Linked DNA regions of Saccharomyces cerevisiae S288C. The gene in region 1 interacts genetically with each later gene. Each region holds a gene or a part of one and is shown in the gene's direction. Other genes may lie near its edges. The genes, in order: DIA1, TCA17, NEJ1 and INM1.

The links.
Region 2: mutations in DIA1 (region 1) and TCA17 together harm fitness more than expected from each alone (negative genetic interaction), as found in Saccharomyces cerevisiae (one large-scale study listed by BioGRID).
Region 3: mutations in DIA1 (region 1) and NEJ1 together harm fitness more than expected from each alone (negative genetic interaction), as found in Saccharomyces cerevisiae (one large-scale study listed by BioGRID).
Region 4: mutations in DIA1 (region 1) and INM1 together harm fitness more than expected from each alone (negative genetic interaction), as found in Saccharomyces cerevisiae (one large-scale study listed by BioGRID).

What each region holds. Positions count from the first base shown.
Region 1 is NC_001145.3:900,501-908,945, forward strand, and holds DIA1 (Dia1p), read left to right. Parts: upstream 1-4,324; coding exon 4,325-5,335; downstream 5,336-8,445. Other genes in the region: TGL3 (bifunctional triglyceride lipase/lysophosphatidylethanolamine acyltransferase), read right to left, coding at 1-807; PRE5 (proteasome core particle subunit alpha 6), read left to right, coding at 1,209-1,913; YMR315W (uncharacterized protein), read left to right, coding at 2,300-3,349; YMR315W-A (uncharacterized protein), read left to right, coding at 3,786-3,893; YMR316C-A (uncharacterized protein), read right to left, coding at 5,162-5,473; YMR317W (uncharacterized protein), read left to right, coding at 6,864-8,445. UniProt on the Saccharomyces cerevisiae protein: Involved in regulation of invasive growth.
Region 2 is NC_001137.3:62,872-69,159, reverse strand, and holds TCA17 (Tca17p), read left to right. Parts: upstream 1-3,992; coding exon 3,993-4,451; downstream 4,452-6,288. Other genes in the region: threonine aldolase GLY1, read left to right, coding at 368-1,531; FRD1 (fumarate reductase), read left to right, coding at 2,363-3,775; seripauperin PAU2, read right to left, coding at 5,070-5,432. UniProt on the Saccharomyces cerevisiae protein: Required, together with the TRAPP II subunit TRS33, for TRAPP II complex assembly or stability, and for proper Golgi localization of TRAPP and the Rab GTPase YPT31.
Region 3 is NC_001144.5:673,392-678,179, reverse strand, and holds NEJ1 (Nej1p), read left to right. Parts: upstream 1-2,724; coding exon 2,725-3,753; downstream 3,754-4,788. Other genes in the region: PDR8 (Pdr8p), read left to right, coding at 456-2,561; YLR264C-A (uncharacterized protein), read left to right, coding at 4,236-4,352. UniProt on the Saccharomyces cerevisiae protein: Involved in non-homologous end joining (NHEJ). Facilitates the transport of LIF1 into the nucleus, where it can interact with DNA ligase DNL4 to repair double-strand breaks (DSB). Mediates mating-type regulation of NHEJ.
Region 4 is NC_001140.6:196,660-205,053, reverse strand, and holds INM1 (inositol monophosphate 1-phosphatase INM1), read left to right. Parts: upstream 1-6,768; coding exon 6,769-7,656; downstream 7,657-8,394. Other genes in the region: YHK8 (Yhk8p), read right to left, coding at 1-447; AAP1 (arginine/alanine aminopeptidase), read left to right, coding at 3,744-6,314; DDE1 (Dde1p), read right to left, coding at 7,821-8,394. UniProt on the Saccharomyces cerevisiae protein: Responsible for the provision of inositol required for synthesis of phosphatidylinositol and polyphosphoinositides.

The sequences.
Region 1 (8,445 bases):
ATTCTTGATGATATTCAAGAGGTTGTCATCGGTCAATAATTGCTTTAGTTGCTCATTGGACAAGCAACCGAATAAACTTGCAACGCATGCCCCCATAGAGCTACCACTTATAATATTAGGCATCAGGTCCTGTAACAATAAACCTCTAATCACCCCAAGGTGAAACAGCCCAAACAATGAACCACCTTGCAAGATTAATGCTGTTGTGCCCAGTGACAACTTACATCTTTGGAAAAAGGATGTTGGAGTTAAAGTTTGATTATTTAATATATCCAAGCCTTCTAGAATTCGGGTCAAATATTGTTCAATAAGTAGCTTTGTACCCATCAAAGATTTTGTGAACAACTTTTTATCTCCAATACCCGCAAAGTTCCTCAACATACAAGGGCCTGTAGTCGAAAACTTCTCCTTAACTACATCATACTTCTCCTCCCTTAACATATTTTCCAATATGCTATATTGTTCAATGACAGAATTGAAGTCGTACCTCCTCGAAAAGAAATTCCGCCGCCATAAATTTGCGCCTGTTATTTCATCCACTACGGACGCTTGCTGACACCACATTTGATACGTATCACACTCATCTAACTTCTTAATAGCGTTATAATAAATGACTCTTGAGTGTGGCCGCACATAGTTAATCAGCTTTTGAACCCAGAAGAAATAAATATCGGTGATGACATGTAGAATTTCCCACACAAAAGGAGGTATATGGTCCAATGTGGCATACACTACACGCAGTATCCAGTTTTTCAAAAGGGTCGGTATTACAGCAGACACCTTGTATTCCTGCGCCGTTTCCTTCATGCTTAACGGCAACTCAAAGATGTGATATATGAATAGATGATTCCCTTACTATTGTGTCATAGTACTTCTCTATGTAATCAGTACTAATTTCTATTAGCTGCTACCCAGAAAAAAAAAAACATAAGAAAAAAAGGGTTAGGGTTGAATTTTCAGACCTAGGATAAGTATCTCCGAAATTACTAAAAACCTAGTATTTATTAAAATGCCCTACTAAAAAAGTAAAAATGACCTATAAAGAACATACCCTATTATAGAGTGGCAAAATTAAAAATTCAAAAGTATCGTCAAAGTATGGAAAAGAACCAAGACGCCACTACATTTAGGTAGACGTGGTGATCAATTGAAGTTCAAGAGAAGTGGGTAAGAATACATTGAACTAAGCCTTCATATATTTACAAAACATGTTCAGGAACAATTACGACGGGGACACAGTCACTTTTTCTCCTACAGGCCGTCTGTTCCAAGTGGAATACGCCTTGGAAGCTATTAAACAAGGGAGCGTCACTGTGGGGTTACGTTCGAACACTCATGCTGTTTTAGTAGCGTTGAAAAGAAATGCAGACGAATTGTCATCATACCAGAAAAAAATCATCAAATGTGACGAGCACATGGGGCTCTCGTTAGCCGGGTTGGCTCCAGATGCTAGAGTTTTAAGTAATTATTTGAGACAACAGTGTAATTACTCCAGCTTAGTTTTTAACAGAAAGCTTGCCGTCGAGAGAGCAGGTCATTTGCTTTGCGATAAAGCACAGAAAAATACACAATCCTATGGGGGCAGACCCTACGGTGTTGGTTTGTTGATCATCGGGTATGACAAGAGCGGTGCTCATCTTTTAGAATTCCAACCTTCCGGAAATGTCACAGAACTATATGGTACAGCTATTGGCGCAAGAAGCCAAGGGGCAAAGACTTATCTAGAGAGAACTTTAGACACGTTTATAAAAATTGACGGGAACCCGGATGAACTAATCAAAGCTGGCGTCGAGGCTATCAGCCAGTCTCTAAGGGACGAATCCTTGACTGTAGACAATCTTTCAATCGCCATCGTGGGTAAGGATACGCCTTTTACAATTTACGATGGAGAAGCTGTTGCTAAATACATCTAGGTCTGGACACAAAGTATCGTTTCCACTAAGCAATTGTCAAAGCAAGACCAAAGAAGCCTTTCACCACGGTCGGGGTTTTTTTACATATAAAGATAATAATAGATTAACTTAGTACGTAGTCTCACTTCTCATTCAAAATTAAAAAAGACGTGGCTTCCAAATCAACTAATAACCCCGCTTAATTCCGCCCTCCGCCGGGGAATAAACGGAGTTATCCCCTGTTGAAAATTCAGCATGATTATGTATCACAATACATAGGTGTTCGTCTATAAAAAGAACTACTTATTCTGGATAAACTTTCGAACTCGCTCAAACCTATTTGTTTCTGTACATCGAATAGACCCATAATCACTTCTTGGTTCCAAAAAGTAAAGTAATAGCCAAAAATGTCCCCATTGAACGTCGGTATAGTTGGTACAGGTATTTTTGCCAGAGATAGACATCTCCCATCCTACCAGGAATTTCCTGACAAATTCAAAGTCATTGCCGCCTTCAACAGACATAAGGCAAAAGCTTTGGATTTTGCAAAGGTTGCTGACATACCTGAAAATAAGGTTTACGACAATCTAGATGAAATTTTGAATGACCCTCATGTCGACTACATTGACGCTTTGCTACCTGCTCAATTTAATGCTGATATTGTCGAGAAGGCAGTTAAAGCAGGTAAGCCAGTTATTTTGGAAAAACCAATTGCGGCCAACTTAGACCAAGCAAAGGAGATTGTCAAGATAGCAGAATCCACCCCATTGCCCGTTGGTGTGGCTGAAAATTGGTTATATTTACCATGTATTAAAATCGCAAAGGAGCAGATCGAGAAAATTGGTCCTGTAGTAGCATTCACCCACAATTCTACCGGTCCATTTGTTACTCAAAATAAATATTTGACCACAACCTGGAGACAAAAACCAGAGCACATTGGCGGATTTCTATCTGATGGTGGTGTCCACCAATTAGCTCTCGTTATTTCCCTACTCGGTGAATTTGGATCTGTTTCTGCATTAACGAGACAGGTGCGTGAACGTTCCGGTGCAGATGATATTGTCTTTGCTACTGTCCAGTTGAAAAATAAAGAGGTTATCGGAAGTTTTACTTATGGGTCTGCCTTTGGTGCTACCGAAAAGTCGGTTTTCTTGAAAGTCTATGGTAAGAATGGTACCGTTACCGTTGACTTATCAGACAAAAAAGACCCCGTTGTAAAAGTCAAATTAGGGGGTTCAGCTGAAGATAACGGTGACGAACAAATTTTTAAAGTCGATAATGATGAAAGTTTCGGCGTCAACGCTGAATTTTTGAATTTTCACGAAGCTGTCAGCAAGAAGGACAAATCCTTATACCTAGGCACACCCAGAACTGCATTTCACCATTTGGCTTGTGTGGACGCGTTTTTAAAATCTTCTGCCAAGAATGGTGACTACGTTAAAATTGAGCAGCCATGATTACCGTTTTACGATGTAACGCTTTTTTAACCTTAATAGATAGATTCCCTCATATATTTATAACTATGTACCCACATAAGTATACTTTTGGAATGATAATACTAACGAGATAAAAAACCGTTGAAAAATTTCTAAGTTTTCTTGAACTAAAAATAGCCAAAATTCTCCATCCACTTGTTGTTGCAAAATGTTACGAAGGCGAGGTTCTTGGAAATCTGGATGATTATGGGAAAATTCGTTCAACAAGAACGCCGAGCCTGGACGAAATACTTAGTCGGCATGGAACTAGTTATGAATGACTTTTCCTATATAAGATCTACAACCGTTTCCAATTCACCATGAGATATATATATGTTTAACGAATCAGGTACTCGTCCGAAGCATTTCGAGTAATGCAACCCCACAAGTGTCCCCCAAGAATTCACTGGGATTTTTGATGACCGAAAGAAAGCTATTGCAGCTGCTACGGCGTCCTTTCATCTCCCTTTCTTTATTCACGGCCTTAAGAGCTTGTCCGCTTCGCCCCAAAAGCCTAATTGCTTAGAGCATGAGAGTTGAAAACGACCAGAAGTGTCGTTTTAGGTAAGCATTCGGCCATAATGAACAGTAAGTTTGTCCGAAAAATACACCGCTAGGGTTCGATAACGAAGAGCGCATATCAATTGCGTTGTCGACTTAATTGCTCTCTTAGTACAACGGTATGTGTCAGTGATAAAATCCTACCGGTTCCACTTTTTGTGAGCGATAGATGACGGAACGTATGCGCCTATTTCTTTTTTTTGGCGCAGCAAGGGACAATGGTCCCTTTTTGAGAAAATGTTGTAGGCTTGGCCATCGGCGTGAACGCATATAAAAAGAAGACTGCCAACATGACAGTATTTGAAACAACTACAGATTTGGCAAAGTTCGCCAAGATAAAGAAGACCGAAGCAGGTGCTAAGCTTCCATTAAAAGTTTTTCAAGAAAAATCTGATTATGGGTTCAATAAGTAGATACCTTCTTAAGAAAGCAGCAGATGGGCTTAAAGATGAGCAGAGATTGAAGATTGAAATGTCCGATAGCAAAAGTGTCCCAGAGTGCTTTCATTTTAATAGGGAAAGAAGAATGCCCATAGCCGAGATAAACGGCGAGGATGGGTTTTTCATGTTTCCGTCTCAGCAATCGCTTGAAAATTTTGAAAACACTAAAAAGTATTCGAATGAGCTGAGTCCAGATGCAATTGGTATTCCATTATTCCAAATTATCAATTGCACTCTACCGTTTGGTAAAAGAGGTCATAGCAATACTGTGGTCGGCAATGTCCCATATTATAAAATTTTCAAATTTATTTTAAGAACGGCAGACGAACCTCCGCCTTATACTGTGGCAAAAATCGTTTGCTCAAACAACGGATTAATATTGTATAAAGTGCCTCTTTACGACATATATAAAAATGTCAGCCAAGCAAACGTAACTTACAGCTTCGTAGGGACTACGTCTACGGAGCCCAACTTACTAGCAATGGCTCACCGAGAAGGACACAGGGATTTGGACACTAAAGTGAATAATTTAAATCTCAGGTGGCATGTCACTTATTCGCCCGTAGTTACCAACGATCATTATAAATTAATTCTGTTAGCAGATTATGAAGTGAATCGTTTGGATGAAGATGTCATTAGAGCCGCTAAAAATAAGATGTCCATCGACCAAAAGGATCAAAAAGTTCAGAGGTTCGTGGCAGCTCATTATACTAGAGAATTTGAAACATCTCTTTTTAGGTGGGTCGCTCAAGAGGGCCACTTAATTCTTGGCGAGTATTCCACAGATCAAGGATCATTTGGATTGAATAATATCCCACCATTGACGGAAGAACTCGGGTGTCAGAGCCTGCTCATACATTACATAGAGTACATGAAGAGACAACGTAAAAAAATTGCGAAAGAGGCAAGGAGACAAAATAAAAGAAACGTTGCAAACACGACTAACATGAACATGAACCTCATGTAACAAAAGTTTGCGTATAATAAACCAGTATAGATGTGTAACTGTAATTTTTAACTTATCACAAGCTCGTTCCCTTCCTGCGTTGAAAAAGCGGGACAATGCCAGAATATAAAAAAAAGAAGAAACTTTAAACCCTGTCATATCTTGTCCGAGATCTCGTCGTTCTTGTTTAATTGATCTTCTTCGTATACTGCCAAAGGTGCCAAGGCACAAAAAAGTTTAAAGTGGCACGGGCTATTGCGTCACATAAAGCCCGTAGCGCAAAAAAGTGATAGCTGACTTCATTAGATCACCAAAATGGAAAAAACTTCGTGAAGATTTCTTTTTATCTTCCTCACAGTTTTTAACTTCCGGGTGTTATACTCTCCGTTTGAAAAGTTGATTTTGTTAACTTTCCTCTTTCCTTTTGGAGTAAAAACAATATCCTCGATAGGCAAGACCTTCCTGCACCGCTATGGCGGCCATTTTGATTTTTCTTTACTGTGGGAAGCAAGAACTTGTTCAGGCGCCTTCCTGGATAAGCCATCTTTTTTCAAACAGTTTCTTCTATACGATAGGAAAGTCGTTGGCCAATCGATTAATTAATTGAACAATAGGAGCCAAATAAGCAGGATATCTTCTTTCGTATACCGCCTGCCTCATTATTCAGAACAAACACGAGTGATCTGACACTATGAAGTTAGCAGTAATCCTTTCTAAGAGAGGTGGCCCAAAATTCGAATAAAATTAACTTTCCTTACCATTTAGCCTCTATCAAAAAGGTTCTAAAAAGTAATATCACACAGCCGAGCCTAGGACGTCACCTCTTTCCTACACAGTTGACATTACTTATGTACTCAAAAGGACGTATGTACCAAGGAAAGCATAGTTTTTATTCAAATCGAGTTTTTTATTCTTATATCCTGCTTAAAAGTGGTGATTAATGAGGAAAAAATGACAGCAAGAATGAAATAGTATGTAATTTCTTTAGATTTAGCGGTGCCCGTGCCTTCCACGCGCAACTGTTCTCTCTAATTTACTATTCGCTTTGAACGTAAAATGTGCTTTAGTTTCCCAGATGTAGCTCAAGTATTATACCATCTTTTGCACCTACTTTACTAAATTCATCTCAGGTATAATTGTATCGCATATTCTATTTTTTTTGACATTTAATGCAAAATTGTGTACCTTTCGTTAAGGCGAATTTTCTGGACCATGCGCAGATCTGATCCAAAATAAACTTTTTTTCATGAAGCTCGTTTGCGATCATTGCCTGTGAATTTAGCGAAGGTGTCAGTCCACGGCGACTTAGAACTCACGTAAAAATAAGCATCTTGCTAAGACTGTTCAGCAGTCAACAGTAAAGTTCTGAAAACATGTTTTCTTAGTCTCTATCTTTGCCCATGTTCCTCTCAAGTGGAACAAAGCTAAAAATGAAATATTAATTTTATATAAAGTCTCACTCACACCTGTGGTAATTTTGTTCCCTCAGATTTGTCAATGATTCTGTCATAGAAAAGGTATCCACAAGAAAGGGTAGCGCCGTATCAAAATGGGTTCATCTGGTTCAAAATCGACCACAGCCACTACCACATCGCATAGTAGCACGACTACTACTAGTAGCACAACCAGTACAACTACGCCTACTACCACTAGCACGACAAGCACGACAAGCACTAAAGTTACAACTAGCCCAGAAATTATTGTCAGTAGTTCTAGCACATTAGTTTCTTCTGTTGTACCCGAGTTTACTTCTAGCTCGTCGCTCTCCTCTGATACAATTGCCTCAATTCTATCATCGGAGTCATTGGTTTCCATTTTTTCTTCTCTTTCTTACACATCATCCGATATTTCTAGTACATCAGTCAACGATGTCGAATCATCAACCTCTGGCCCCTCAAACTCATACAGTGCGCTTTCCTCCACAAATGCACAACTGTCCAGCTCCACTACAGAGACTGACTCCATAAGTAGTAGTGCTATTCAAACATCTTCCCCGCAAACCAGTTCATCAAATGGAGGTGGTTCCTCTTCGGAGCCATTGGGAAAGTCCTCTGTCCTTGAAACTACTGCTTCATCTTCTGATACAACTGCAGTCACATCCTCCACATTTACCACGCTTACTGACGTTTCATCTTCTCCAAAGATAAGTTCCTCAGGATCGGCTGTCACTTCAGTTGGTACTACTTCCGATGCCTCAAAGGAAGTTTTTAGTTCAAGCACGTCCGATGTTTCTTCCCTACTATCAAGTACTTCCAGCCCCGCAAGCTCTACTATTTCTGAAACCCTACCATTTTCCTCTACAATTTTATCCATCACTTCCAGCCCAGTAAGTTCAGAAGCTCCATCGGCAACGTCTAGCGTAATTAGTTCAGAAGCTTCATGGGCAACGTCTAGCTCAGTGAGCTCGGAAGCTCCATTGGCAACGTCTAGCGTAGTGAGTTCAGAAGCTCCATCGTCAACGTCTAGCGTAGTGAGTTCAGAAGCTCCATCGTCAACATCTAGCTCAGTGAGTTCCGAAATTTCGTCAACAACATCTAGCTCAGTAAGTTCAGAAGCTCCATTGGCAACGTCTAGCGTAGTGAGTTCAGAAGCTCCATCGTCAACATCTAGCTCAGTGAGTTCCGAAATTTCGTCAACAACATCTAGCTCAGTAAGTTCGGAAGCTCCATTGGCAACGTCTAGCGTAGTGAGTTCAGAAGCTCCATCGTCAACATCTAGCTCAGTGAGTTCAGAAGCTCCATCGTCAACATCTAGCTCAGTGAGTTCAGAAGCTCCATCGTCAACGTCTAGCTCAGTGAGTTCGGAAATTTCGTCAACAAAATCTAGCGTAATGAGTTCAGAAGTTTCATCGGCAACGTCTAGCCTAGTGAGTTCGGAAGCTCCATCGGCAATTTCCAGCTTAGCAAGTTCTAGACTGTTTAGCTCTAAAAATACATCAGTTACTTCTACTTTGGTTGCTACAGAAGCTTCGTCAGTAACTTCTAGCCTAAGACCTTCTAGTGAGACATTAGCAAGCAATTCAATCATTGAAAGCTCTTTGTCGACGGGTTACAATTCGACCGTTTCTACCACAACATCCGCCGCATCTAGTACACTTGGATCTAAGGTTTCGTCAAGTAATTCCAGAATGG
Region 2 (6,288 bases), on another chromosome or scaffold:
TCCGGGCAGCAGCGCCGTTTCTTTTTTCCCGCTGCTTCGCCCTTTGTATTACTCATTGCGCACTTTTTCACTTGCCATATTCGTTCACCGGTTTTTCTTTTTATTTCTTCGTCTTTTTTCGTCTTTTTCTTCACTGGATATACGCTTTTTGCATTTGCAATAGCACATATGTGTATATATATAAGCAAGTGTTGAGCTTGCCTGTCAAATCCTCCATGTGTCCTTCTCGTCTATCTTGTTCTGTCTGGTATAGAGTAATACTTACATACATATACGTACATTGTTTCCGCTGGCTAGTTCGTAACCACCTCCTTTCCTAGGCTTACACTCACTTTTACTCCCGCACACAAACGCAAACATAAACACAATGACTGAATTCGAATTGCCTCCAAAATATATCACCGCTGCTAACGACTTGCGGTCAGACACATTCACCACTCCAACTGCAGAGATGATGGAGGCCGCTTTAGAGGCCTCTATCGGTGACGCTGTCTACGGTGAAGATGTTGACACCGTTAGGCTCGAACAGACCGTTGCCCGCATGGCTGGCAAAGAAGCAGGTTTGTTCTGTGTCTCTGGGACTTTGTCCAACCAGATTGCCATCAGAACTCACTTGATGCAACCTCCATACTCTATTCTATGTGATTACAGGGCTCACGTTTACACTCACGAAGCCGCTGGACTGGCGATCTTGTCTCAAGCGATGGTGGTTCCTGTGGTTCCTTCCAACGGTGACTACTTGACCTTGGAAGACATCAAGTCACACTACGTCCCAGACGACGGTGATATTCACGGTGCCCCCACCAGATTGATTTCTCTGGAAAACACTTTACACGGTATTGTTTATCCATTGGAAGAACTGGTCCGCATCAAAGCTTGGTGTATGGAAAATGGTCTCAAACTACATTGTGACGGTGCCAGAATCTGGAATGCCGCTGCACAATCTGGCGTGCCATTAAAGCAATATGGGGAAATCTTCGACTCCATCTCCATCTGTCTATCCAAGTCTATGGGTGCTCCTATTGGGTCCGTCTTGGTTGGGAACCTTAAGTTTGTCAAGAAGGCCACCCATTTCAGAAAACAACAAGGTGGTGGTATTAGACAATCTGGTATGATGGCTAGAATGGCTCTTGTAAACATCAACAACGATTGGAAGTCCCAATTGCTGTACTCGCACTCTTTGGCTCATGAATTAGCCGAATATTGTGAGGCAAAGGGCATCCCGCTAGAGTCTCCAGCAGACACCAACTTTGTCTTTATTAACCTGAAGGCCGCTAGAATGGACCCAGATGTCCTTGTTAAGAAGGGTTTGAAGTACAACGTTAAGCTAATGGGTGGTAGAGTCTCGTTCCACTATCAAGTCACCAGAGATACTTTGGAAAAAGTCAAATTGGCCATCTCCGAGGCCTTCGACTATGCTAAAGAACATCCTTTCGACTGTAACGGACCTACCCAGATTTACCGTAGTGAATCCACCGAGGTCGACGTTGATGGCAACGCTATCCGCGAAATAAAAACCTACAAATACTGATGCGTTCCAGTTGCATCATGTGTATTGTTAGGGTTTTTGTTTTAGGATTGCTACCCTCTTCCTTTTTTTCATACATTACAATAATTTCGTGGCATTGTAGATTTAACGGCTTTCTTTTGCATCAATGATTTTTATATTCAAATGGGTTTTTTCTTTTTTCTGTTTTGTTATTCAAGGATATTTCAACTCTCACACCATAATTATAACTAATTATGTCGGCACATTTGAGAACCAATGGTTAGTTTCCAGCGCACCTAGCGACTAACTACCCTATTATGGAGGGACGAAGGTGGTCTTTCTGAGGGAAGGAGGAAAAAAAGGTAAGAACCTCTTTTCTTTGTTCCCCATTGAGAGATCGACTGAATATGTTTGGTTTTTTTGGTACTTGATTAAAGTTTACAACGGTACGTATCCACGTGGAGAAGCACATTTCTTTGTATTCTACGATACTACGTATTAAGATTGAATGTACCCATGTATATTCTCGCAGGGTTTCTTCACAGGATTTCGACGTACACCTTTTATACAAATATATATATATATTTATATGTATGCGTAAGAGTCTAAAAAACGTTCACTTTAATTCCTTTTTTGCTTTTACTACTATTGTCTTTCTTCTTTCATTTGTCATCATGCAGTGAATGACTGAAACAATAGAGACAGGTATGAAAAAGAAAATTTTTTTCTTTTCAAACGGTAACGGGGGCAACGCGTCGCGTTCCTGAACAGCTTAATCTATTGCACGTATAAAAGCTGAGAACAATACGCTGACATAGCACCCCATTTTTTTTTCTTATCTTCACTTCAACAACCCCTCATCCGTAATTGTAAATGTCTCTCTCTCCCGTTGTTGTTATTGGAACCGGTTTGGCCGGGCTGGCTGCTGCCAATGAATTGGTTAACAAGTATAACATCCCTGTAACCATCCTCGAAAAGGCTTCCTCGATCGGTGGGAACTCTATCAAGGCCTCCAGTGGTATTAACGGTGCTTGCACCGAGACTCAACGTCACTTCCACATCGAGGACTCCCCACGCTTATTTGAAGATGACACCATCAAGTCTGCTAAAGGTAAAGGTGTCCAAGAATTAATGGCTAAGTTGGCCAATGATTCTCCCCTGGCTATTGAATGGTTGAAAAACGAATTTGATTTGAAATTGGACCTATTGGCTCAATTGGGTGGCCACTCTGTGGCAAGAACTCACAGATCGTCTGGGAAGTTGCCTCCAGGTTTCGAAATTGTTTCTGCCTTATCTAACAATTTGAAGAAATTAGCTGAGACTAAACCAGAGTTAGTTAAGATTAACTTAGACAGTAAAGTCGTAGACATCCATGAAAAGGATGGCTCCATTTCTGCTGTAGTGTACGAGGACAAGAATGGCGAAAAGCACATGGTGAGTGCTAACGATGTCGTTTTTTGTTCTGGAGGGTTTGGCTTTTCTAAGGAAATGCTTAAAGAATACGCACCCGAACTGGTGAACTTGCCAACAACAAACGGGCAACAAACAACTGGTGATGGTCAAAGGCTTCTGCAGAAGTTAGGCGCTGATCTGATTGACATGGACCAAATTCAAGTTCATCCAACTGGGTTCATTGATCCAAATGACCGTAGCTCAAGCTGGAAATTCTTGGCTGCCGAATCCTTAAGAGGTCTTGGTGGTATCCTATTAAACCCTATTACCGGTAGAAGATTTGTCAACGAATTGACCACAAGAGATGTAGTCACTGCAGCTATTCAAAAGGTTTGTCCTCAAGAGGATAACAGAGCACTATTGGTTATGGGCGAAAAAATGTACACAGATTTGAAGAATAATTTAGATTTTTACATGTTCAAGAAACTTGTACAGAAATTGACATTATCTCAAGTTGTTTCTGAATATAATTTACCAATCACTGTCGCCCAATTATGCGAGGAATTGCAAACATACTCTTCCTTCACTACCAAGGCTGATCCGTTGGGACGTACCGTTATTCTCAACGAATTTGGCTCTGACGTTACTCCAGAAACTGTGGTTTTTATTGGTGAAGTAACACCGGTTGTCCATTTCACCATGGGTGGTGCTAGAATCAATGTCAAGGCTCAAGTCATTGGCAAGAACGACGAAAGGCTACTAAAAGGCCTGTACGCGGCCGGTGAAGTTTCTGGCGGTGTTCATGGCGCCAATAGGTTGGGTGGTTCAAGTTTGTTAGAATGCGTTGTCTTTGGGAGAACCGCAGCTGAATCTATTGCCAATGACCGCAAGTAACGAATTTTATAAATGAATCATTTCTAAACGATTTTTTAATAGTATATAAGTAGTATTAATATTATTATTATTTTTTTTTTTTTTTTTTTTTCACTTTCGAAGTTCTGCCGGAAGAGCTCATCGACGGCCAAGAAACATTTTACATAAAAGTTATTGAGTTGAAAATTGAGTAAATATTCTCTCCAAAAATCAAATTGTACGTTTATATCACCAAACTATGAGCTTGAGGCCTTGCTTCGTATCATTGATAGATGAATCTGATAAACCTATATTGATTTACGTCCCTAATGAGGCGGAGAATGAGATGAATGATGTACTCAAATATAACGTGCTTTCTAACATATCGTTAGATTATTTTGAAAGTGCTTTGGTTGAATGGCATTCTTTAGATTCCAAACCTCTTCTGAAGTCAATTTTTCAATTGGAAGGTGTCTCTGTATTTGCTATGTTGATTAAGCAGACGGGCCTGAAGATTGTCATTGGATTTGAACAAAAAAGCCTAAGTGGAGCTGATGATGAATTTGAAGCAATCAATCAGATTTTCGAAACCGTAAGAAAAATCTATATACGTGTCAAATGTAATCCTTTACTTGTTAGCGGTGACGAAAAGTCCATTATAAAAAGCTTGGAAAGAAAATTTGATGAGTTGTTTATTTCAACTGAAGTTGAATTATAAATGATAATTTATTAGTCGATTCTTTCACGAATGAAAGCAAAATTTAATGTCACTGCTTTGGAGTGAGAGCGATTCAGAGAAGTTATTAATGTCTAATATGTCCAACTTGGTGACAGTTTCGCCTTGCCTAATTAGCGGGGATCAGGTGCCGGTAGTATATCTCAGATGACCGTGACAATCAAACTTTCTACTTCATTCAAGTGACTGTCAATTGTCATGCTGTTCATGAATAAATAAGATACGGAGACAATTAAGGCGATCGCTTTGACTCTACTGCTAACGAAAATTGTCCGAATTGAACAGATGTGGAAGCAATCACTATACGTTACTTCATAATGAAGATATTTGTTGGCTTTCCGAGATATAGACTGATCTTTGTCACTTCATATCCGGCACGGCAATTTTTACATGGGATGGCTCGTCATAAAGATACTGCGACCTTTGGAAAGTCTGAAATAAGTGCTAGGTTATGGTTACAACGAGAATTGACAGATATGATGTGATTGTTCACGTATGTACGTATAAAGATATTTATACTACCAAAAAAAAAAAAAGGGTTTTTTTTTATTTCATTATCTAAGTTTCATAGCATTTCCTTCATTAAATTGGCGTTTGTCTCTAGTTTGCGATAGTGTAGATACCGTCCTTGGATAGAGCACTGGAAATGGCTGGCTTTAATCTGCTGGAGTACCATGGAACACCGGTGATCATTCTGGTCACTTGGTCTGGGGCAATACCAGTCAACATGGTGGTGAAGTCACCGTAGTTGAAAACGGCCTCAGCAACTTCAATTGGGTAGGTTTCAGTTGGGTGAGCAGCTTGGAAAGAGTAGTATTGAGCCAAATGAGCTCTGATATCAGATACGTAGACACCCAATTCAACCAAGTTGACTCTTTCGTCAGATTGAGCTAGAGTGGTGGTTGCGGAAGCAGTAGCAGCGATGGCGGCAACACCAGCGGCAATTGAAGTTAATTTGACCATTTTATTTGTTTTGTTTGTGCTGATATAAGCTTAACTAGGAAGAGAAGAGTGGAGGCATATACCAAAGAGAGGTAACCAAAGCAGTTCAATTTATATGAATTTCTCGGCCAGCTTCTCTTACATGAACGAGGGGCCACCTTTCACCTCATGAACATTATTGTTATTGCTATTGTTATTGAGATGCCTTTACTCATGAACGATCCATTTTTGGAGGTCTCGTATAAGAGGGCGCGGTTTTGAGTTAATGATACTCATTCGTATATTCAGAATGCAAGAATGTGCTTACAGTGGAGACTAGTTGAACCTTTTTTGAGTCCCTGAAATATTTCCAGTCTGCTAGCTCAGCAGTTGAGTCGAAGTAATATGATATGAGTGTTCGTTCAGAAACCACTGTTCAAGCGTTGACCTTAAACGGGATATCGGAGCTTGGCCTTTTTTTCCCAAATTAGAAACATGCGTAATGTCGATTAATTTTGAATTAGCGTCGTCTGGTACTATATGGGTGATCAAGAGTTGTCTACTATGTGAATCAAACGAATAAGGGATAATAATCAGTAGGACGAAGCACGCGTTAGATAATTAATGGCACATTGTTTCAAGGAATTAGTTTTTGCAGCCGTTTAGAGCTAGCTATAATGATAAAATAGTTCGTTCATATACTCCGGTGGGATCATTGCAGAAATTGAGAAAGAAAGAACGTTGAATATGACATACGTAGGTAAACGAAAATTTATAGACTAACCAGGTTCAAGGCATTCTTTGATCCATTGACCTCGTTGATACCTCTACTATTTTCGATCATTACTACTAATAGAATAACAGCAATAAAATTTACATAGATGATCATATTATATGT
Region 3 (4,788 bases), on another chromosome or scaffold:
TTCGAAATCACAGCCTATATATTGCACAAATTTCACGTAGAGCTCTAGCTGTGAAGATAGAATCATCAACTTTAAATTTGCTTAAATCTATTTATACAAGAAATGATCAACTGAATAAAATAACGAGCGGCTGAAAATTAAGGGTTCTTTCGTGTGTGGAGTTACAGTCCGTTGCAACGCCTTTCCAACATGCACACAAAACCAACAGTGGCTTATTCGCCAGAGGGTACAACAATGACTCAGAAATCATGAAGAGGCATTAACAGCGGTCAGCAGTGGAGCAATAACAACAGGGTCATTACTTCTTTACTACTTGTACTTAGAATACATCACGACAAGGTGCAATGCGGCGCCTTTCCGCGTTGACAAACTCTTGAAAAGCCCATGACAGGTGGAAAACACGTGGTTGGTACGGGACGAATAAGAAAGAGGCAAACGGCACTTAGTTTGTTGGGATGGATGGATCCCATTTTCCTATGAAATCTACTACCGGAGAGCCCGTTTCAAGTGGTAAGAAGGGCAAGAGGAGGAAGGTCATCAAGTCATGTGCATTTTGTAGAAAAAGAAAACTGAAATGCAGTCAGGCCAGGCCTATGTGTCAGCAATGTGTAATTAGAAAACTACCGCAATGCGTTTACACAGAAGAGTTCAACTATCCCTTGTCTAATACGGAACTGTTCGAGCAAGTGCCCAATGTAGCGTTGGTTCAGAAGATTGAGAATTTGCAGACTCTACTGAAGGAAAACGATAACAATAATGCGAAACCGGTGTATTGCAGGAGTTCAGAAAATCCATTACGGTCACTGAGAACTTCGGTTTTAGGTGATAATGGCTCGAGGTATGTGTTTGGCCCCACTTCCTGGAAAACTTTATCTTTGTTTGAACAAAATAAGTTTCAAACTGAGTTTCAAAATTTATGGAAAGTCTTGAAACCACTTCCTGAATGCACTAAATCGCAATTAAATGAAAATGATGTTGTAGCAGATTTGCCTAGTTTTCCTCAAATGGAAAGCTGTATTAAATCTTTTTTTGCTGGACCGCTGTTCGGCATATTGCATATCTTCAACCAAGACGATATTCTGTCCCTCTTGGACAGACTTTTTATTAGAGATACCACGGACAAGAACCTAGTCATCCTCCTCGATTTGCAAGGTAATGCAAAAGATAAGTATAATCTTGGCATTGTACTTCAAATTCTTTGCTTGGGCTATTATAACCAAGATATCCCTTCTTCCGTGAGTCATTTCCTTCACACTTTAAGTGCAGCGTCCTTGTCATCATCGAGCTCAAATTTCGTGGAAAAACTACAATTTTTCTTATTGTCCTATATTAGTGTAATGATAAATTGCACGGACGGTGTATGGGATGCGACTCAAGGCGTTGACTTAATCAACGAGCTATGCCAGGGGTGCATAAGTTTGGGTTTAAATGATATTGATAAATGGTATTTGAACGAAAGTGAGGAAACCAAACAAAACTTGAGGTGTATTTGGTTTTGGGCTTTATTCCTTGATGTATCCACCTCATATGATATAGGTAATCCTCCGTCTATTTCAGATGATCTTTTGGACTTAAGTATATTTACTGCGCAGAATTTCCAATCACCGAGTATTGACTTTAGGAGAGTTAAGCTAATGCACGATTTTTTAGATGTTTCCCGATTCACTACTCGTGAAATTCACAAGAGAGAGATGAACGAAAAATTGACCACTTTTTCATTGAGATTGATTGAATTTATACAATCTAACTTTTCACCTATCGAACATTATACAAATTCAGTTTACTACTCTGATATTGATCCCTTTGATATATTGATTTTATCAAGATCTCTAAGTATAGTTGCTAGTATATACAATATTGAGATGATCATCGCTCAACAAAGCAGAATCATAGATAAGAACAGAATGGTTCAGTTCTTGTTGATATCCATATCAGTCTGTGTTAATACAATGGTATTTCATTTTAAAGAGCCTATCAACGACCAGGAGAACGTGTTAACTGAAGGGCTAAAACTGTCTATTATTCTAATCAATCCACTTTTAATACGAATAGTATCGCAAGTGTACAGTTTAGCATTTAATAGGTTAATCTTCAGGGAGAAGGCATTCCTTTTCCTTATTGACCTTGACACTGGGAAAAAAATACAATTCATTAAATATGAAGAAGAAAACTTTGATGAACTTTTGACAGGATTCGATGTTAGGACTGATAAATTTCTGTCATTTTCAGGAACAATAATAAGATTTTACGAAATTATTGATAGCATATTTGCTGTTAATGAAAGAAATAAGCGATTGTTAAAAGCAGTTTCCAATTTTTATCAGTTAACTTCAACTTTGGCGTTTGAACGCGTAAGTAGGGTTTTATTCGATAAAGCGTCCCAAGCAAGAATAGAGACTGAAAAAATTTGGCTGAAAAAGGGCATTAATATGGAGCACTTCAGTGATCTCATGATTGAAGATTTTATTAATGATGTTTGGAAAACGTTCAAAGAGATTTCCAAAGACCTTTGGTCCATTGACAAAAAGAAATTTTATAAACAATATCATTTCGATTTATAAATGTATTTATGATTGATGTATTTTTTTACATGGATTTTTTCGTCCCAAAAAGGGATGATAGTGTTGGCAGCGGGCAAACACAAAATAGTGTCATATAAGTGGAAACCCTATGGAGAATAACCATAACAACGGCCAGATAGGAGGTTAATCTTACACATGTGTGATGGATTCTGAGTTGAAAGGGCAGCAGCTAAGTGATGCAGAATGGTGTGTTAAAAAAATTAATGGTGAGGGAAATTGTCTCCTATTATTTCTACCGATGTCATCTCCAACCACAATTGTAATGATTGTTTTAGTTTCCTTGGAGCGCTTAGTTCCCTACGTTTTCAAACTTTCACAAACTCAATTATCACAGCAATGCCAGAGCCAAGGTTTTACGGATAGTATATCATTAAATCTAATTAAACTAAAACTAATGGACATTCTACAAGCTCCTCAAGAAATTAACCAAATTGGATTGGTAGATTCAAATTTGGTTTTTAGTTTCGATGTATCTGCGGATATTACAGTTTCCATAAATAGCGTACCTTCACATGTTACTAAGGATATGTTCTATATGATTTTGCAAAGTTTATGCATGCTTTTATTAAAATTGGTAAACCTTTCCACCCAATACCACTATGTACAACGGGATATTTTGAATGAAAAGCAAAAATGCTTAGATTTTCTTTTAATTTCTCTTCGTGATTTAGACGGTGGGAGTAAAGTTATCAGTCAATGGGCTCCTGAAAATTCTAAGAATTATGAATCTCTGCAGCAATGCACAGACGATGACATAATCAAAAAATTACTACATAAAGGAAAATTCCAGCATCAAGAATTTCTGGCGGACTCATTAAAAACATTATTATCTTTAAGAAACAAATTTCAAGATGTGTCGCGGTTTGAAGAATCTGGAGAACTTAACAAAAAAGAGCGCGTCAGATTTCCTGCGGTGAATCATTTTTATAATGATGATTTTGAATTGCAAGCAGACCCTACAAATGAGGCTCGACCAAATAGCCGCGGTAAAATTAAACCAAAGACAGATTTCAAGCCAAAATCTAGAGAAAGTAGTACCAGTTCGCAACTTCGCCTGGAGAATTTTTCTGAATCTGAGGCTACACCAGAAAAAACAAAATCAAGTTCTTCTTTGGTCGAAGAATACCCACAGAAAAAAAGAAAATTTGGAAAGGTGAGAATAAAAAACTAAGGCAAGTCAATTAAACGTCAAAAATTAAGGTTGGACCTTTCAAATAGTTCTATTCCTTTGTTGACGCATTGATAATGTTAATTTATTGAATGGTAACGTTATGCCATTGATAGGGAGCATATAAGTTTATATGTATTAGGACAGTTCTAATTGTTTATTATTAATCTAACGGTAGTTTCAAGCAGTATCTTACATCACTGCAGCTTCTGAGTGTCTAAATGATAAACTGCATAAAAAATAGCCGCGCAAGCTCGCCATCACTGTAAATGAAATTTAGACGCAAAACATAACCGCGGATGTAAACTTACTTAATAAGAGCGATTGGCAAAAGAGCCACAAAAAAAAATTGGATCAATATCTGGTGCATGGGTCTAAAAAAATTAAGCAAAACCACAACACCACGCGTTATGACAGCAGTTTTAGAGACTGTTTCTTTCTCTTCTATTGTATGAAGTAATCAGATTATTATATTGAGTAAGTACATGAATGTAATATTTAAATTGTATTTAACGATAGATGCACCAAAAAAAAAGAAAGTTACAGTAAGAGACTTCTTGTCGATTCGTTATTCCATGCCATACAGGTTAGCCTCAAATTAATTAATTCTTAAAATTCAGTAAACATTCTGGAATCCAAAAAAGTAACAAGTTCGTCGAATATCTCATCAATTATAGTGAGTTGTACACTCAACCCACCTCCAAAAAACCACAAAAATTAAGTGACTTCAATCATTTAATTCATTTTTTGAAAAATTGACATCATTGAGTATTTCTACGCATTTGTTCTCTGTTTTTGGCAACCGAAAATCCCTTGTAAAGAATCCATTAAAATTAATAAAGGAGATGTATGAATTCACCGAATGGAAAAACCGACCAAAGCACAAACACCTACTGTCTTCTATCCCTCCTTTCGATTGTTTAGATGAGCTTACCAACGTTTATATTATTTGCAATCGATTTCATCACTAAACTCAATTAAAATAATCATTCGAACTTCATTTTTTGAGAAATATTAAAAAATAAGCTGTTGTTTGTA
Region 4 (8,394 bases), on another chromosome or scaffold:
ACTGAGCGTAAGGGCGTATAAAAATGTGATCCTTCGTCCATATAGTTCACTTAGTGGAGACAGAAATAAAGGTCCTATACCGAGCCCAAACACATAAAGCGTAATTCCCAGAGTGCTGACTTCGTGCGAAATATGAAAGTGTTCGATTATGTGCGTTGAAGGAAGCGTCCAGCTGGACGAGATCATCGTAATTACCATCGATGTGAATGTAATTAACGAGGAAATATAATACCGGCGGGCGGTGCTCATATGCCGTGCTATATCTTCTGGGTCCGCGATGTCCTCGTTGAAGGTCACTTCATGCGATTGTTTGCCGTCATTTTTTCGTTCACTGGTCAATTCCAGATCCAGTTTTGCGGCTTTGTCTGAGTTTATTGAACAATGCTCTTCTTCAGTAGATGTCAATGCCGATGACTGTGCACTCGCTATTTGAAATTCTGCAACCATATCCTGTTGTTATATCTGCATATATATGTTCTTAGTATACAAGGTGATACCATACACCAAATGTAAGGCAAATATGCCTTTATATAGGGTCCAGGTGAACGTAACGCATCTAATAACAAGTGTTATTGCTTGACCTAATAATCTGAGATGGTCGCTTCACCGGTAGAAAAATTCTCTGCGTATTACTAATCTCAACAATAGCCAACACTAAATCCGTAGGACCGGCGAAAAGCGTGCTAATCTCCGCTTTATTGCCGGATCCGAAAGGTGTTTCTGGCATCAAGATGTTATAAATCACGGAATTAAGAGAAGGATATTAAATGTGCCATTGCATTTTATTGATATTTCCACTCACCCAGAGGGATAATAATGATCAAAACAGATATACAATTCAGCTCCACTTTTACCTGCGCAACATGACATTTCCAGAACTAGCTTACAATTCGTACACCGGTTATAATTGGTTTATGGTTTCCAATGTAGGACCAATTTTTAGAGATAAATACTGAAGCAAATATTGGATTTCTTCTGTGTTTCACACGAAGAATATGAGTGAACCATTATTCCGGCTTTTGTTTCCTACAGCAAGATGTAAGTTATCTGGTTTGCTTATTACTTAGAAAAAGGGCTCCTGCTGGTGGAGGTAAATTAGATTATGCACCTATCGGCGGGTTAGCGTTGGGCCGTAGCCTTTTGGTCGCTTGCATTTACCACGTATTTTTTCCTTTCAATTTATTATAAGCTTAGAGATACGATTTCAAGGCGCAGCTCTTCTGTTAGCAGTTTTCTCTACGACTTTGTATGAGGTTCATCTCATTTTGTTAGCTTCTATTCACATACCTACTATAACACTAATCCTGCTATGGTTCAGACCCAAATATCTTCAACCCCTGCCATAGGAACTGTAAAAAATAGATTGTAATTCAAAGTACCTTCAGAAAAAAAAAGTTATATACGGCGCATACTACACAGTACGCAATGTGTCACTTGGTACCGCTGTTCTTATGTTCGTTTAAACAAGATCTCGAGGTTTGAGTCAATGTACGAGATTTTGAAACCATGAGGGATGTGCCCTCAAACTTTATGATCTGGTTTCTTTTTTTATTTATATCGTTTTTATGCTGGGTTACGTTGTTGTTTTATATTCCTTGTCTAGTATTACGGTCAGCAGAGGCCAAATCCTATATGCATTATATGTGGTTAGCATTGACTCCTTAATAGAACGGCCAGTTATCAATCAAATTGCCTATAAGCATGGATCACTAGCGGCTAGTATTGTATTGCATTTGGAATAGCCCTCTTCGTTGAGCCACAAAGATATCTTGCGGAAATGTGGCTAAAGCAACTTTTGATGATTGCTGGGAAACGGTTTGGTAAACTGCTGAAGCAATTGTTGTACACAATACTTCTGCTTTTGGCCCCATCTGGATTTTTCATTTCCGCTTTTGCCTCAGGTGCAACAATAACTATCTTTGAGCATCGTACCACCAATACAAAAGGATATGATCGTTATCATACAGAATTTTTCATGGATTTTGCATGTTTCGGTATAACTTTACGTAGGTGAATTATTGAAGGGCTTTGTGATAGGTGTGGATGTACCTGCCGTGCGTTGATGACCTTCAACTGATCGGAACAAATTGCTATTACATGTAAAAATCTCATGTATGAGCGAATCTTTTTGTGTTATAGGCAATCACCTAGAAAAGCTTGGAAATTGGTCCTGAGTTTTTTGTTGATGGTAAGTGCATTTTTTTAGTATGAAAGGTTTACGATATTAGCTGCTAAGTTCTCCCTTGCCCTAGTGAATTACGTTTTTTTCGATTAAAAGGGTTGGTCCCGAAATTGACCTCTTATATGTACCTCAATTGCAGATAGCATCAAATTTAGACTACGTCATCAACCAAATTACACCCTATGAAAAACATAAGATTATAAGCATGCGTTTGTGTAAAGGTCATACCATTTTATACGTTGACGCAATGGTGCAAATAGAAAGGTTTACGAAAGCTCTTATTCCGCTTAGCGCAATTCTATTGTTAATTTCAAGTAAAAAGATAAATATCTCACGTCCTTATATTATCTTTGATTAAAATTTCACGATCAATGTAACGAAAAAAGGTCGCAAATATTTCTTTTTCATCACTCTGATTAAACAATGGCATCATGAAACGCTCATTGGATCGTTACACGTTCTCATTGTACATATGTATGATTTAGAACAGCTTGTTCGCCTGATCTCCACCTTATACCCTCATCTTACCGCAGTGCGGTTTTACGCCTCATGTTATTTTTGCCAGCTTTAATAACAACATCAGTAATATTACGTTATTGGATCTTCCACTCCGGTTCGAGGAAAAAAAGAGAGGAGGAGAAACGCATAAGCTACAATAATGAGTGAGTTAACGCTTTAATTTGCTCAGTGATCATTGCTAGCCGGATATTTGTGTTTTTGTAGAACCCAGCCATACCTAATCATCTCAGTATATTATCTGAATTCTTGACTCAAAATATGGATTTTCTCGAACGTCTCACTTCCAATCATCCCATCAAATGCTGTGGATGAAAACATTTAAAACACGGGCAAGAAAAAATGAGTATAGTATAGTTGTGGCCAGTTCTTGTTGTACTAATGCACTTGCTTTCGTATCAAAGTTGAAGAAGCACTGAAAGAACAACAAAAAATTTATTAAAAGCAAAAATCATTCTACGTTCAACGAAAATGTAAGGCAAATATATCTTTATATAGGCAAGCATAACCGACGCTAACTTTGTTCGAGCTTCATCAACGTTATTAATATCGTAGTTATTCCGCTTTGTCTCAATAAGCTTTTGCTTACTTGAGAAAAAGAACGAAGTTTCTGTTTGAGATTTTCCTTCTCATTTTCTTTGAAATTTAAAGGAGAAATATTCAGCTCTATACATTCTTTGTTCGAGTATGTTACACATCACCTTACAATGGGAACATCCTATGATGACATACTTCTTCTCGATGATTTATTTTTTTTCTCAGCAAACGCTGTTTTCTAGGCGGTGAAAAACGGGAGTCTTCATCCCACATTTTTTGAACTCGTTGTGAAAGTTTTTTTTCGTACTCTTGGACTTGGCTGTGGGAGTTTGACACATTTTTTTATTTTTTTTCCGTTTTTTTCCCTTTTGTTAGCGATCAAACTTTTGACTTTATGAGTAATCTTAGCTAATCATTTAGAATTATCTTCAGGGAAGCTTATTCAATTCGTGATTTTTCTTTGAGGGTTCCTGTTCAAGCAAGCCAAATTGCCCTCTCAGCTAATACCATGTCCCGTGAAGTACTGCCAAACAACGTTACCCCATTGCATTATGACATTACACTAGAACCTAATTTCCGTGCTTTTACGTTTGAAGGGTCATTAAAAATTGACCTGCAGATTAATGATCATTCGATAAACTCTGTGCAAATAAATTACTTAGAAATAGATTTCCATTCTGCACGTATTGAGGGTGTCAATGCCATTGAAGTTAACAAAAACGAAAACCAACAAAAAGCTACTCTTGTCTTTCCTAATGGAACTTTTGAAAACCTAGGACCTTCTGCGAAGTTAGAAATTATCTTTTCCGGTATTCTAAATGATCAGATGGCGGGATTTTACAGGGCTAAGTATACGGATAAAGTCACAGGGGAGACGAAGTACATGGCTACTACTCAGATGGAAGCCACAGATGCTAGAAGAGCCTTTCCTTGTTTTGACGAACCAAATTTGAAGGCGACTTTTGCAGTAACTTTGGTCTCTGAATCGTTTCTGACTCATTTGTCCAACATGGATGTCAGGAATGAAACAATCAAAGAGGGTAAGAAATATACAACTTTTAACACGACTCCAAAGATGTCTACGTACTTAGTAGCATTTATTGTAGCTGACCTGAGATACGTGGAAAGCAATAATTTCCGTATTCCAGTAAGAGTTTATTCTACCCCAGGGGACGAAAAATTTGGTCAGTTTGCAGCCAATTTAGCTGCTAGGACCTTGAGATTCTTTGAGGACACCTTCAACATAGAATATCCATTGCCAAAGATGGATATGGTGGCAGTTCATGAGTTTTCTGCTGGTGCTATGGAAAACTGGGGGCTAGTGACTTATAGAGTTATTGATTTGTTATTAGACATAGAAAATTCGAGTTTAGATCGCATTCAAAGAGTTGCTGAGGTTATTCAGCATGAACTAGCCCACCAATGGTTCGGCAACTTGGTCACCATGGATTGGTGGGAAGGCTTATGGTTGAATGAAGGTTTTGCCACTTGGATGTCTTGGTACTCTTGCAACAAGTTTCAACCAGAATGGAAAGTTTGGGAGCAATATGTTACTGACAATTTACAACGTGCTCTAAATTTAGATTCATTAAGATCTTCCCATCCAATTGAAGTTCCCGTTAATAATGCGGACGAAATCAATCAAATTTTTGATGCTATTTCTTATTCTAAAGGATCTTCTTTATTGAGGATGATTTCCAAATGGTTGGGTGAAGAGACTTTTATTAAAGGTGTGTCCCAATACCTGAATAAATTCAAATACGGTAATGCAAAGACCGGAGATTTGTGGGACGCCTTAGCAGATGCCTCTGGCAAGGACGTTTGTTCGGTGATGAACATCTGGACAAAACGTGTTGGTTTTCCAGTGTTATCTGTCAAGGAACACAAGAACAAAATCACATTAACTCAACACCGTTATTTAAGTACCGGTGATGTTAAAGAAGAGGAAGATACAACCATATACCCCATTTTGTTAGCTTTGAAAGACAGTACAGGTATCGATAACACATTGGTATTGAACGAAAAATCTGCTACTTTCGAATTAAAGAATGAAGAGTTCTTCAAGATTAATGGTGACCAATCTGGTATTTTCATTACCTCTTATTCTGACGAAAGATGGGCTAAGCTATCCAAACAGGCAAATTTATTATCCGTAGAGGATCGTGTTGGCTTAGTCGCAGATGCAAAAGCCCTTTCTGCATCTGGCTATACCTCTACTACTAACTTCTTGAATTTAATTTCTAATTGGAAAAACGAGGATTCATTTGTTGTTTGGGAACAAATCATTAATAGTTTATCCGCTCTGAAATCTACTTGGGTCTTCGAACCAGAGGATATATTGAATGCTCTAGATAAATTTACTTTGGATCTAGTACTTAACAAACTTTCTGAATTGGGGTGGAATATTGGCGAAGACGACTCCTTTGCTATCCAACGTTTAAAAGTGACCCTTTTCAGTGCCGCATGCACTTCTGGCAATGAAAAAATGCAATCGATTGCGGTAGAAATGTTTGAGGAATACGCCAATGGGAACAAACAGGCCATACCTGCACTGTTCAAGGCAGTTGTTTTCAACACCGTTGCCAGACTTGGCGGAGAAAACAATTACGAAAAGATTTTCAACATCTATCAAAACCCTGTTTCGTCAGAAGAAAAGATTATCGCTTTGAGAGCTTTGGGCAGATTTGAAGACAAAGAACTTTTAGAAAGGACATTGTCTTATCTGCTAGATGGTACAGTTTTGAATCAAGATTTTTACATCCCAATGCAAGGCATTAGAGTTCATAAGAAGGGTATTGAAAGGTTATGGGCTTGGATGCAAGAACACTGGGACGAAATTGCTAAGAGATTACAGCCAGGCTCGCCTGTGTTGGGTGGCGTGTTGACATTGGGTTTAACTAATTTTACCTCTTTTGAAGCCCTTGAAAAAATTAGTGCGTTCTATAGTAGAAAGGTCACTAAAGGTTTTGATCAAACCCTGGCTCAAGCCTTAGACACTATTAGATCCAAGGCGCAATGGGTGAGCAGAGATCGTGAAATCGTTGCTACCTACTTGCGTGAGCATGAGTATGATCAATAGCTTTTTTTTTTCACGAGCACCTACAACACAAATATATACATATGCCAATGAGTCAAAACCACGTGTAATTAATAAAGAGATTACTACTTGCTTATGTAGAAATATAGTAGCTAGCAGAAAATGAATCTGATAACATCTTCATTGACACATTTCCAAGTATAGAGAACTTTCTTCTGCTTCCTTTCGGAAGAACTGAGTGAATATTGACTGGCGTGCGTCATAGCGAGATTTTTTCATCTGATGATGTATGGAAAAAAAAAAAAAACTTTTTTTTGAATAATGGATGCATCGAGTGACTTTCATTGTTGCGCACGTTGCTTTTCCAAAAATGGTATTAATATAGGTCTTTTATCTCTTACTTCACATTTAACTGCTTGTTAAATAACCCCAGTGTTTTCTTTTTTTTGGATGAATAAGGAAATCAACAGCTGGTACACGCATATACACATATACCATGACCATTGATCTAGCTTCTATCGAGAAATTCCTCTGTGAACTGGCTACTGAAAAAGTAGGACCAATCATCAAATCCAAGTCCGGCACTCAAAAGGATTATGACTTGAAGACTGGCTCCAGGAGCGTTGATATTGTAACTGCTATCGATAAACAGGTCGAAAAGTTAATTTGGGAATCGGTAAAAACCCAATATCCAACTTTCAAGTTTATTGGAGAGGAAAGTTATGTGAAAGGGGAGACCGTGATTACTGATGATCCTACCTTTATTATTGATCCAATTGATGGGACTACAAACTTTGTTCATGATTTCCCATTTAGCTGTACCTCTCTTGGGCTCACAGTAAACAAAGAGCCCGTAGTAGGCGTTATATATAATCCTCACATTAATCTTCTGGTATCCGCTTCTAAAGGAAATGGGATGAGAGTTAACAACAAGGACTATGACTATAAATCAAAATTGGAATCTATGGGTTCTCTAATACTAAATAAATCCGTAGTGGCATTACAGCCAGGTTCCGCTAGAGAGGGAAAGAATTTTCAGACAAAAATGGCCACATATGAAAAATTACTATCATGTGATTACGGTTTTGTTCATGGATTCAGAAATTTAGGATCATCTGCAATGACAATGGCATATATTGCTATGGGGTACCTTGATAGTTATTGGGATGGTGGTTGCTATTCGTGGGACGTGTGTGCTGGATGGTGTATTTTGAAAGAAGTGGGCGGTCGTGTAGTAGGTGCCAATCCAGGTGAATGGAGTATTGATGTCGACAATAGGACATATTTGGCTGTGAGGGGAACAATTAATAACGAAAGTGACGAACAAACAAAATATATCACAGACTTTTGGAACTGTGTTGATGGCCATTTGAAATATGACTGATCGTCAGCACATTAGGCCTAATATAAAATGTACGATTAAAATGACAGTTATTTGAATCATTTTAGCTGATCACAGGGATATAGAAGGTATTGGTAGTAATAATAATAATGATAATAATAATAATGATAATAATAAATAATAAATAATAAAGCGATAGATAATGCTCATTGATTATAGATGTATAAGCAACCGTCTTGGCCAAATAGTCCAAAAACGCCAACTAGAGGCATCCATCCTTCACCTCCTCCAAACCTTTCAGCTAAATGCAAAGCTTTCTCTAAACGATCGGACTCTACTGGTTTACCTATGCTAAAACCACGAATACATAACATACCCTGCTTCTTCTCTATGTTCAAATGAGGGTTTGTTTCCGTTTCTACCATTTTTCCTTCTAATGTTGTACTTAGTGTTCCATAACATACAACGTTATCGTCCACAGATTTTCCAAAAACCCTATAGTCATAAAAATTGGTATGTGCCACAGGTCCCATGATAGCGTAGGGACAATATAACTCGAGGACTACACGGGATCCTAATTGAGCTCTTATTTTATTCAATTGTTCAGTGCTTGGGGTGATTCTTCGGTTAGTCTTTTTTAGCTGAGGAATTTTTTCAGGAAATGTCGAAATAACCTCAGCATCTTTCACATTATCTGCCAAATAAACACATCTTAATTTTTCAAGAGAATGTGGCTCGATTCTGGCAATTTTCGTAAAAATACCCTCGCTCAGTAAGTTC